Lonchura striata: one gene and its partners. The protein of the gene in region 1 purifies or fractionates together with the protein of each later gene. This does not show direct contact. Links are inferred from orthologs where the notes say so. Each region holds a gene or a part of one and is shown on either strand. Other genes may lie near its edges. The genes, in order: EZH1, MTF2 and JARID2.

What was found.
Region 2: the proteins of EZH1 (region 1) and MTF2 purify together in Homo sapiens (affinity purification with mass spectrometry; 3 studies listed by BioGRID and IntAct, with this or other methods). This does not show direct contact. The link is inferred for Lonchura striata from reciprocal best matches to the Homo sapiens genes EZH1 and MTF2.
Region 3: the proteins of EZH1 (region 1) and JARID2 purify together in Homo sapiens (affinity purification with mass spectrometry; 4 studies listed by BioGRID and IntAct, with this or other methods). This does not show direct contact. The link is inferred for Lonchura striata from reciprocal best matches to the Homo sapiens genes EZH1 and JARID2.

Annotation. Positions count from the first base shown.
Region 1 is NC_134627.1:6,234,958-6,238,701, forward strand, and holds the start of EZH1 (histone-lysine N-methyltransferase EZH1), read left to right. Parts: upstream 1-1,430; 5' UTR 1,431-1,496; coding exon 1,497-1,507; intron 1,508-2,005; coding exon 2,006-2,126; intron 2,127-2,467; coding exon 2,468-2,596; intron 2,597-2,875; coding exon 2,876-2,995; intron 2,996-3,506; coding exon 3,507-3,627; intron 3,628-3,744.
Region 2 is NC_134611.1:20,719,247-20,722,990, forward strand, and holds the start of MTF2 (metal-response element-binding transcription factor 2), read left to right. Parts: upstream 1-1,163; 5' UTR 1,164-1,325; coding exon 1,326-1,330; intron 1,331-1,670; exon of another isoform or gene 1,671-1,721; intron 1,722-3,744. UniProt on the Homo sapiens protein: Polycomb group (PcG) protein that specifically binds histone H3 trimethylated at 'Lys-36' (H3K36me3) and recruits the PRC2 complex, thus enhancing PRC2 H3K27me3 methylation activity.
Region 3 is NC_134603.1:89,554,724-89,558,467, reverse strand, and holds the start of JARID2 (protein Jumonji), read right to left. Parts: upstream 2,309-3,744; 5' UTR 1,690-2,308; coding exon 1,645-1,689; intron 253-1,644; exon of another isoform or gene 135-252; intron 1-134.

The DNA of each region.
Region 1 (3,744 bases):
CTCCCAGGCTGAGCTGAGCACAGTAGAGGTGAAGGGGCTAAGGGAGCAGAGGGCTCCTGGTTCTGCCTTGGTCCTTGCAACCTGGAAGAGAAGTTTCTGAGCCAACACCAGCCCTGGGGGCAGACAAGTTCGTGGCAAACCCTGCTCAGAGATCCTTCCAAAGAAGGCCAGGAGGGGCCAGGCAAGCTGTCCTCCAGCACAGCTGCACTGGGAGAGGAGAGAAATACGCCAGGTGCCCTGTGGGGACTCGCCGTGTGCCAGACCCTGTGCCCAACCCCCTGGGGCCTCCGTGCAGCACCCCCGGCTGCCTGTGCCGCACCCGGGGGAGCACAGACAGGAGCGGGCAGCAGAGCAGCCATAGCCCAGGGAGCATCCTCATCCTACCGACAGCGGGATCCCAGCGCCCGGGCTGGGACTCACCCGGTCACCTATCCCGGAGCCCGGCCCGTCCCAGCGCTGGCGACCCGCTCCCGAGCCAATGCCCGGCAGGGCCGGGGGACACCGGGCCCCCGCCCCGCCTGACCCGGCGGAGCTCCGAGATGCGGGCGGGGTGCAGGGCTGCGGGCGCGGCCGGCCCTGCTCGTCCCCCGCAGTCACCCTGCCAAAAAGGTGCCCCGGGGCAGCCGGCAGCCGGCGGGGGACGGCCGGGGCCGCGCCGGGGCAGCAGCCAGCTCCGTCCGCTCCCCAGCGCCGGGGCCCCCGGGGCAGGAAAGCTGCCGCCAGCAGCCGCTTCCTGCCCGGCGCCGCCACTGGGAGGCCCGGCGGTGGGGCCAGAGGGACCCGGGACCACCGGGACGGCTCGTCGGGCAGCGCGCCCACACCGAGCAGGGCTGTCCCGGGACTCGGAGTGCGGTGGAACCGGGCGGGAACGGCGCTGCCGCCAAGTGCTTCCCGCAAGACCGGGCCGGGGCCGGGTGGGCCCAGGCACGCCGGGAATGGGCGGGCACGGCACCGAGCCGCCGCGTTTAGCCCGTTCCCCGCGGCCGACAGGGGTGTCCTCCAGGCTGGAACGGGTCCGCTCCGCCGGGGCAGGCCACGCGTCCCGGCCCCACCGGCACCGGCACCGGCACCGGCGGCGGCGCGGGGCGGGGCGGGGCCTGGGGTGTGAGGGGCGGGGCCTGGGGTGTGAGGGGCGGGGCCTGGCGATAAGAGGGGCGGGGCCTGGGGAATGTGAGGGGCGGGGCCTGGGTATGAGCGGGGAAGGGTGGGGCCTGGTGTGTGAGGGACCGGGGCCGGGCCGGGTCAGGGCCGGGCTGGGCCGAGTCGAGTCGAGTCGAGGCGGGCCCGGGGCCTGAGGCGGGCCCGGGGCGGATCGAGGCGGGGTCCGGGCCTGAGGCGGGCCCGGGGCGGGCCGGGGGCCGAGGCCTGAGGCGGGCCCGGGGCGGGCCGGGGCCGGGGCGGGCCGGGGGCCGAGGCCTGAGGCGGGTTCGGGGCGGGCCCGGGGCGGGCCGGCGCGTGCGCAGTGCGGCGGGGGCGCGCGGCCTCCCCCTGTCGCGATGGCCGAACAGTGAGTGCGGGCGGGGCCGGGGGTCCCGGGGGTAGCGGGTCCCCGTGGGACCAGCCGGGCCCCGGGGGCGGAGAGCTGCGGGACTCGGACCCGCTCCCCCGGCCCGGCGGCGCGGCCGGCCTCGGCTCGCTCCGCTTCTTGTTGGCGGGCGTGGGGAGCGCTCGGGCCCGGCTGGAGTGGAGCCGCGGCTCTCCGGCGGCGTGTCCCGGGGGAGGGCGGGGATCGCAGCAAGCCCCGGGCTCACGTGCTGCCCCGGGGGCTCGGGGAGCAGGACGGGCGGTTCTGGTCAGCACCGCCCCTCGCTGCTGTCCCGGGCCTGTTTCGGGCTGGAGGTGTTCCGCAGTCAGGAGCACTGCAGAGCTACGGCGTTATTTTGCTTGGTTTAGGTCTGTGATGCATAGAGTGTTTTTCCCATCCACAGGGGCGTTTTTCTAATACCACTTGTTTCGAGGTTGAGCTCTCCATTATTTAATGCTTATTCTTTCTGTACTGTTACAGAAAAATGGAAATTACCACTCCTCCGACATCCAAGTGTATCATGTACTGGAAAAGGAAAGTCAAGTCCGAGTACATGCGTCTGCGGCAGCTCAAGAGGTTCCAGGCAAACATGGGAGCAAAGGTACAGCCACAGCAAGGACTGGGCTGAGATGCACCAAAAAGCTTCATTTCAGCTCAGAGTGAATGGTGCCAGAGGGTGTCAGCAAGATGAATTGATAAGCTGTACTTGACTTGCAAGCTGGATCAATGGGAAGAGATGCCACTTCTGCTCGTGCTCTGCCTTGAGCTTGTGGGCAGCAGCTGGCACATGCACGAGGCCATTGAACAAGCACTGGTGTATCTGCAGCAGGAGAGCTGATTTCCAGCTGGTTTTTACAGGATCTCCTTGCTGAACTGTTTCAGTGCTGTGAGAGTTCTCAATGGGTTTTCTTAAATTTTGAGAGCTCCTTTCTCTCCTTTCAGGCTCTCTTTGTGGCCAACTTTGCAAAGGTTCATGAAAAGACTCAAATCCTTAATGAAGACTGGAAGAAGCTTCGAGTGCAGCCAGTGCAGCTGATGAAGCCAGTCAGTGGGCACCCATTCCTGAAACAGGTGTGCAGAGGAAAAGGGGCAGCATCAGCAAGTGGGGACTGCAGGGAGCTTTGGGAATATGGATGAGTTTTTGTCTGTGTTGTCCTAGATCAGTGTCAGGCCATGCCTCACACTTCTGGAATGCAGAAATGGACAAAAAGTACCCCCAAGGCTTTTCCCTGGATGGAGTCCACAGAGTGGATGTGGGGCTTCTGTATTTGTCCTGAATTCAGTTTTCCTCAGGCTGTGGCAGCCTCCCAGAGTGGTTCCTCACTGACCTTTTCTGTACTTGTATTCCAGTGCACTGTTGAGAGCATTTTCCCAGGATTTTCAAGCCAGACACTGTACATGAGGACCCTGAACACAGTGGCACTGGTGCCCATTATGTACTCCTGGTCCCCTCTTCAGCAGAATTTCATGGTACGTGGGAAGCGTGGGGTCTCAGCGAGGTCAGCATCTGATTGTTACACAGCTGGGAAGTGGTTCTTCATCCCACTTGTTTCAGGCAACATCTGCTTGAGAGATGATGAAGTGTTTCTTTAGTTGCTTGTTTTGTAGAATCCCAGACAGCCTTGTGTCCACACTACCTCACCAGGTAGTCTCCTTTACATGTGTCTTCTTGACAGAGTCACCATTGTTTCACAGAAATCAAGGAGTAAATATGTTTTTTGGGGGTTTTGTTTGTTTGTTTGTGGTTTTTTTTCCTAAGATTTTTATTTCCCTTTATATGAAGAGTTTTATTTCTTAGGCAGGTTCTTTCATTTGTGACTGGGTTACAATGGGATAACACTGATGTGTCAGTGATGAGACATCTGAACCTTTACTGTGCACCGTGTTGTTGGCAGACCTAAGGGACCAGAGCAGCCTTGGGCACAGCCTCGTTGGGGTCAGCAAACTCTGCTTTTCTGAGCTGTGTCTGATTTCTCTTCAGGTAGAGGATGAAACAGTTCTGTGCAATATCCCTTACATGGGCGACGAGGTGAAGGAAGAAGATGAAACTTTCATTGAAGAACTTATTAATAACTATGATGGGAAAGTTCATGGAGAGGAAGGTAACCTGGGAGCAACCAGCTCTGTCCACTCCAGGCCACATTGGATGGGGCGTGGAGTAACCTGGCCTAGTGGCCTGTCCATGGCAGGGGTGGAACAAGATGAGCTTTAAGATCCCT
Region 2 (3,744 bases), on another chromosome or scaffold:
TATTCTGACATAACTAGGAACTGGCCAGACTAAGCTGTACTCCAGTGGTCTGCCCAGGCTTCCCTCCCTGTGCCCTTTTCCAGGGATGACAAACTGCTCCAGTACCTTAGTTTCAGTTGCTTATCCCAAGAGGGAAGATGGCTTTGAGAACTTAGGCTGTTTGAGCAGGAGAGAGACTGGAATCCTAAATTCTCCATCCATTCTTCTGAGTTCAGCCATTCCTGAGTGACACCAGTGGGTGAAATCTGATCCAGGGCCGCTGGCACTCTGGTGTTGCACTGGGCAGAGCTGCACACAGCAAAGGCTGCTACAGGGCTAGGCCAAGCTTTGCAGTGTTTATAAACGTGGCATTGGGCCAATTGCTGTGCTTAACGATGCGGACTATAGACACTAGCCCAGTACTGGAGTCTGAACAACCACAAAACACAATGATGGAAAACAAAAAGGTATTTCCAGAACCAGATAACTGCTGGTGTTGGAAGGGACTTGTGGAGATCATCTAGTTAAATCTCCCTGCCAAGGCAGGGTCACCTAGAGCAGGCAACACAGAAACGTGTCCAGGTGGGTTTTGAATGAACCCAAAGGGAGACTCCATGAGTCCCTGTTCAGCCCGTTCCATTAGCTCAGCTAATACAGCTGCTGCTAACACCTGGAACTGAGGTTCAGCTCATCTCCTAAAATGGCAGCATCCCGATGTCGGCGCAGAGGAGCACACTGTGCATTCTGCAGCCTCCGGTACCGGGGCCGGGCCTGGCCAACCGCCGCGGCAAGAAGGCGGACCCGGGGTCATTCCAGACGGCAGGGCCGCCGCTCCAGGGCGGGATCTTTCCCCGGAGCCCGGCCGGGCGCTCCGCGGGGCCCGGGCCGCGCCGCATCGCCTCAGGTGCGGCGGGAACAATGAGCGCCCGGCCGCAGCGAGCCCGGCGGCGCGCACCGCTCCGCGCGGGCGCGCGCCTCAAATAGTCCCCCTTTGTTCACGGCGGCCGCGGCTCGGCTGCGCCCGTGTCCCTCCGCCGCGGCGCCCCGCGCCCGCCCCCGGCGCTGCCGGCGCAGGCGGGGCCGCCGGGGCGGGGCCGCGGCCCTTTGTGCTCCCAGAATGCACCAGCGCCTCCTCCGCGGGAAACAAAAATGGCGAGGGGCTGCGCTGGGGCCGGGCTGCCCGTGAGGCGGGTCTGACCGTCTCTCGCCGCCTTCCGCCTCGGGTCCGTGCCCGGGGGGCCCGCTGCGCGCGGACCGCCCGGCCGCACCGCGCCGCGCCGCCGGGGGAGGCTCCCGAGCTCGCCGATTTCCCTGTATGAGGCTGTTGGCACCACTGGGGAGACCGAATGAGGTGAGGGATGGGGGGGCGGCCGGGCCCGCGCGGTGGGGGGGGCGCGATCCCCGCAGGCCGGGCCGGCGGTGCCGCATCCCGGCCCCGCCGCATCCCGGCCCCGCGGCGGGGAGCGCGGCCAGGGGCCCGCTCCGGCGGGGAGCCCGAGGCCTGGGAGGGAGGGAGGGGGAGGGAGCTCCCGGGCGGCCGCCGGCAGGCGAATGTGAGGGGTCAGTGGTGCTCCTCGGTGACCAAAACAAAGGGAGGGAGGCAGCGGGCCGGTCGGCGGGGCCGGGGGCTGCAGCGGTGAGGTGCCATCAGCCTCGCGCCAGCTGTATTTTCGTCTTCTCCTTCAAGGATATTGTCCGAGTAGGCTGCGTTTGCTCGAGTGCGAAGAGAGCAGCACAAAGAGGTAGTGGTTTTCGTTGGTAACTTTGTGTTTGGGGCTTTTTTGTTTGTTTGGGATTTTCTTCTGTGGCTTTTTCTTTCTTCTTTTTTTTTTTTTTTTCTTTTGTTTATTTGAAGTGCCTCGCCTCTTAATTTCAGTGAGGTTTGACGATTTGGATGTGCACAGCAGGTTTTTAGTCCACTTAAATGTAGTAACTGTTGCTGGCTGAAAGGGTATGCAGTAATGCGTTTTCCTTTTTTTTGGTATTGAATTCTTTGGAAAGAATGGGCTGATACCTCTTGTAGTGAAAGAGAACAATATGGTTCTGTGCTGGATGCTCTGAACACTGATATTAGTGTTGAAATACCAAGGGTTGTCGTTCATCCATAGAGGATCAGGGTGCTATTAGAAGTAAAGGGCCTGCATAATTAAATGGAAGATTCTGCCAGGAAAGCAGTGTAGCATTATGGTTGTTTCTGGAATTTGTGATAGGCCTAGCTTATCATAACTTTGAAAGGTCAAACGCAGTAATGGATAATAACATGGCTTTCTCCTGACTTAATGTAAGGGAATGTGATCAATGATATACACTCAAACTGCCAAAAGTATGGGATAATAACAAAAAAGTTTCCCTCTTGTTTTTTTCCTTTTGATCTGTAATCGGGTGGGTAAAAGTTAACCTGGTAATGTTTGTCCTTTTTTTTTGGAGAGCTCAAATTACATTTAATTTGAAAGCATTTGAGATTAAAAGAAGAGGTGAAAATGTTTCATTTCTGTATTATTAGAACACAGGTTAATGAGTTCAGAGCTTTTCATTTAAAGGAGAATAAGGGAAAACAAAGATTGAACGTATGAAAGGAAATGCATAATACAGTGAAAATGAGAAGGGTCTTTGCAAGGAGCTACAAGCTGTGAAAAGTAGATCTGTGCTGAGAGTATAATGTAGTAATGTTTTCCACAGTTAACCCTTATTTTGTCAAATACACATGTGTGGCTTCTCAACAACTTGCCTTTTCTGTTCTGGAAAGAATTTAAAATCAGATCTAGACGCTTCTCATATGACTTAATATAGCTAATCAGCAGGGTATATCTATTTTTTTAATAGGTGAAAGAGACATGTATTGGTAGTTAGTATGAAGTTATGTTTGTCCTTCCCTGTACCAGGAGGTCAGGTAAAATTTATGAGAAGAGCAGCTGTAACAAATAAGTTCCAGTTAATTTCCTAGTGGACAGTGGACTTCAGTATTCCCTGGAGATGGATGTGAATTAATGTAGAGGCACTGAAGCATATTTTGTTCTCTTCATGTGAGTTGTAGAGAAGGAAGCTTGGAGATGTGACTAGAAGCCAGTATGAATCTTTGATTAGTTTGTGAATTGAACACATTTGTTGTGTGAGCGGCCACTGGCCTTGCTGCAGAGTTGGTTTCACCTTCTTCACAGGCCTTCCTTGCTGGAAATGGAGGGGAAGTGTGTCTTTGAGCAAAACACAACAGGAGAAGAATTATAAAACCACAGGTATGGCTGGAGAGATAATCTCCATGGAAGAGTGAAATCAAGGTGCTTAACATTCTTTGAGAGAAGGAGTGCTACTGATGAGAGCGTTCCTGATGACTCTGGACATACTTCATTAGCTAAATATCTTCACTTCTGTTTTAGATCTATTTATTTTTTTAATTCTTTGGAATGCTTATGGAGGTAGCTGTTCTTGCAGACTGACCTTAAAGAAGATAACTTATTATTTTGGTCAGCTCTGAAATCCTTTTTCTTTCCCACTTCTCCCAGAGCAAGGTAGCATATTGTCTGTTATTTCTTTCGTTGCTGGGGTGGGTGCTCACACTCCCTTAGGTCTGTTGTTGGAGGTACTGGATTTGGATACTGTAGAAACCCAAAAGGCAGTTGCTGTATTCACAGAGGTGCTGGGGATACAATTAAGTGGAATTTTGGTCGGAAAAGGTGTCTTGTGACCTTGTGACCCGGTACCATTGTTTTCTCCCTGTACCTTCATGTGCAAACACATGATCAACCCCAGACAAATGGCTCTTGCTGT
Region 3 (3,744 bases), on another chromosome or scaffold:
AGCGGCGCCGCATTGTTCGCCCCGGAGAAGCCGGGCTTTGGGGTGATCTCTCCCCCTTCTCCTCTCGCCGCCCCCCTTCTTTAATTAATAACACCGCGGTTTCCTTCCCCCCCACCCCGCTTTTGTCTGCCTGCCTGGGAAACGTGGACGCCTCGCGTGTTTAGCCAGACTTTCCACCCGCCGTTCCCGTTTCGATGCCATACTTTAAACTCGCCGGCCCCGGGCTCCCCTCTCCTCTGCAATGCGGATGTATTTTAATTCGGAAATTTAGGGGGGTGCGGGAGGGGGTGGAAAGGAGAAGAGGGGCAGCTTCGACATAGCGCGCAGGCCCCCCCCCTCCCCTTCATCCCCAAAACCACACACACACATCGTTCCACCACCTCCCCCGGGCAGCCCTGCAGCCGGGCAGGCAATCGATAGCGGCAGTCAGCTGGAGTCAACTGCAGTTTTTACCAAATCTATAGAATACCGAGGCAAAGTGTCCCGAAGGTCACCCTCCCTGCCAAGGGACACCCTCCGCTGAAAGAAATCGGCGCAGACGACAAGAAGCTATATAAACTACAACTTTTAAAGCCTCGCATCAAACACGCCCAAAAGCGAGGATTTATATATATTTCTCCCCATATCCGCCCCCCCAAAATTTGGTGCTGTGGTTTTTTTTTTGTTTAAACATGGAGATAAAAATCATTATTCGCTCTACTGCATATACGGATAATCCCCTCTGCTTTTCCAAACGTAGGGAAAAACTGTCCTGTGCCAATCAAAACGTAACTGGAGCACGAACAAAAATCCAACTACCCATCCACATTTATATGTTTAAAGGATTAGACAATTACGAGGGATTGGTTAAGCGGCTGAATAAAGAGAGGCAGAAATACAGCCCAGGCTGCGCTGGATTAGCCCAAATTTTCGAGCCACATAATGAATTATTTTTAAAACGGCACCGAGCCATTTTCCTCATTATTTCAGTCAATCCCGAGGAACGCGCTGCCCGTAAGGCGATCCCCGGCTGCTCCGGTGTCTATCGCAAGGCAGAGCAGCCGAGGATCGCACACAGGAGAAGGGGATGTGGTACTGCGAGAAACCAGCCCAGCTCGCCATAACCAGACACTCGGTTTCAACTTAAAGGGCTTCCAACAACCACCGCCGCCGCTTCACCAGACGAGGATAGACACACGTAGATAATTAAAAAAAAAAAAAAAAAAAAAAAAAGAAAAAGAAAAAACCCAACCCCAACCAAAAAAACCACCAAACCCAAAAAAACCCCCAACAATAAACCTATTTTAGCATGCAAAAGCACAGAATTAAGAAAATCGCTTGAAAATGCAGTTCGGTGACACTATCGTGGCAGCCCCCCGAGCTCCTCGCGTTTCATCTAAAACTAGATTATGATTGTGTCATTTGAGGTCAATACATTTATTCACTGGAGGAATCGCTACACAAATCTGGTTTTATAACCGAACTGGATAGCAGGCTTCCCCATTAAAAGGGGCCTCTGAAACTCCCCCACCACACCACAGAAAAATCAAATTCAGCATCACATTTGTTCCCAAAGCCTTAGAGCTGAAAGATTAGCTATAAACTTGACATTCACTGCCATTTCCTAAAACGGGGAGTCAAACGATGTATGTTATGAACACTTACGTATTTCTTTTGAATTATATTCCTCTTGGGTCTTTCTTTGCTCATTCTGGTATCCAAATTCTGATTGCAAAAGGGGACAATTGCTTCATGAATTAAAGCCGAGACAATTAAAAAAAAAATTAAAAAATACCGAAAAAATCCAGGGGGGAGGGGGTTGTTTGTAGTGGTATCTTGTAATCCGACTTTCTTTCCTCACAATGTGATTCTCCTAGCAATAAATCCGAGAAATGGGGGACGGAAGAAAAAAAAAAAAAAAAAAAAAAAAGACGAATGCGAAGGAAACAAACAAAAAAATCACTTTAGTGAAGCATTATAATGGAAAATTTCCCCCTAAACACAAAAAACGACGCCCTTGATATCCCCTTTTCTCTTTCTCAAGCCGCCTAAGCGATCTGCAGGTCCTTAGTGTCAGAGCTGTAGTTACATCTTGGAGGAGGAAAGGGGCCGGGAGGAGAAGATAAATAATCGGGACGTTGGAAGTCACGTTTGTGCCGCTGCAGCAGGGAAAGCGGCAGGGACAACTCCAGCAGCGGCGGCTCCGGCGGCAGCAGCGGCGGCGGCAGCGAGGGCTGCACGCACCGTGTGTGTCTCCGCTCCTCCAGCTCCCCCCTAGCCAATGAGAGCAGCTCTCCGCCAGCAACTTTAAATGGACCTGGCTCTTTTTTTTTTTTTTTTTTTCTCCTTTTTCCTCCCCTCCTCTGTTGTTAATATCTATGTCTGCGTGCGTGCGTGTGCGCGCGCGTGCGTGTACCTCTGTGTGTGTGTGTGTATATATATATATGTATGTATGCGTGTGTGTGTGTATATATATATACACACACGGACACACGGCGCACACACACATACATGCATACACCGCCTAGGGCTCGCCCTTAATTCCCAACCGGGGCAGCAACCGCAGCGCCCGGCCTCTCGCCGCGCTCAGCGCATGCAACAGGCCCCGCTACACGCTCCATGCGGCTCAAGCCTCACGCGCTTCCCTCTCCCACAGCCCACCACTCTTCCCACCTCCCTTCTTTCGGCATTTCAGCGTGGCCACACGGCAGCCAAGGTCGCCGCGAGCCCCACGCCGAAACCCGAGCGGGGAGTTTGACGACGGTCCCTCAAGAGCGCAGCACGCTCTGTCGCCGTGCCCTGCCCCCCTCCCCGCCCCGCTGCAGCCTCCTCTCTCCTCCCGCCTGCCAAGGGCTGTCCTTCCTCTCCGCCCTTGCGCCCGCCGCGTCTCCCCCGGCTTCGACAGGCACGGGGGGCCCGCCGCGCAGGCAGCACCTGAAAGCCACGTTTGGCCGCGCAGGCCCCCAGAACTGTCCTTGCTCGTGGGGAAAGTTGTAGTTCCCTCGCCACAAAATGGCGAACGGCGCAGAACTACGCCTCCCGGCGTGCGCCGCGCGCCCGGCGGCCGATTGGCTGCTGGACAAGGAACCCCCCCCCCCCCCCCTTCGCCACGCTCGTCCTTCCCCAACCCGCCCCCCCTCCCTTTGGTTTCCCCCCTCCCGCTTGTCTGCCCCAACTTCCCCCCTTCCGCGGCGCTCGGTGGTAGCGGCTGGGAGCGGGGGGGCAGAGGTACGGCAGGAGGGGGAGGAGGAGGAGGAGGAGGAGGAGGGCGCGGGGGAAGTTTATTGGGAATCGCTGACGGGGAGGAGGGAGGCGGGCAGGCGCCGCGGGAGGCTGCAGGGAGAGCGCAGGGATTAATGTGTCTGGGTTGGGCTGGGAAGTGGCGGCCCGAAAACTTCGTGTCTGTGTGCTGCGCCCGCCGAGGAGGCGGTGGTCTGGGTCTGCCGGACAGACAGACGGACGGACGGACTGAGTGGCTGCCGGGCGGGCGGTGTCAGCTCGGGACACACTGCGCCGTGCGAGACCCGCTCGGTGTCTCCAGGGTGTCCGAGGTCGCGCCCGGGAATAACCTTTCTGTGCGGGTGGAGGTGTGCTCTCAAATCTGCTTCCCGGCAGCAGCGGCCGGTCCTCGCCCTGCCCGCCTGCCCCATCCCCGGCGGGCTCTGCCGCTGGACCGGGCGTCGGTGTGAAATCCCCAAGTTCCAATTCTCGAGTAATTCAAAGTGTATTTTTTTCTTTCATTGAAACATAAAGAAAGGAAACCGT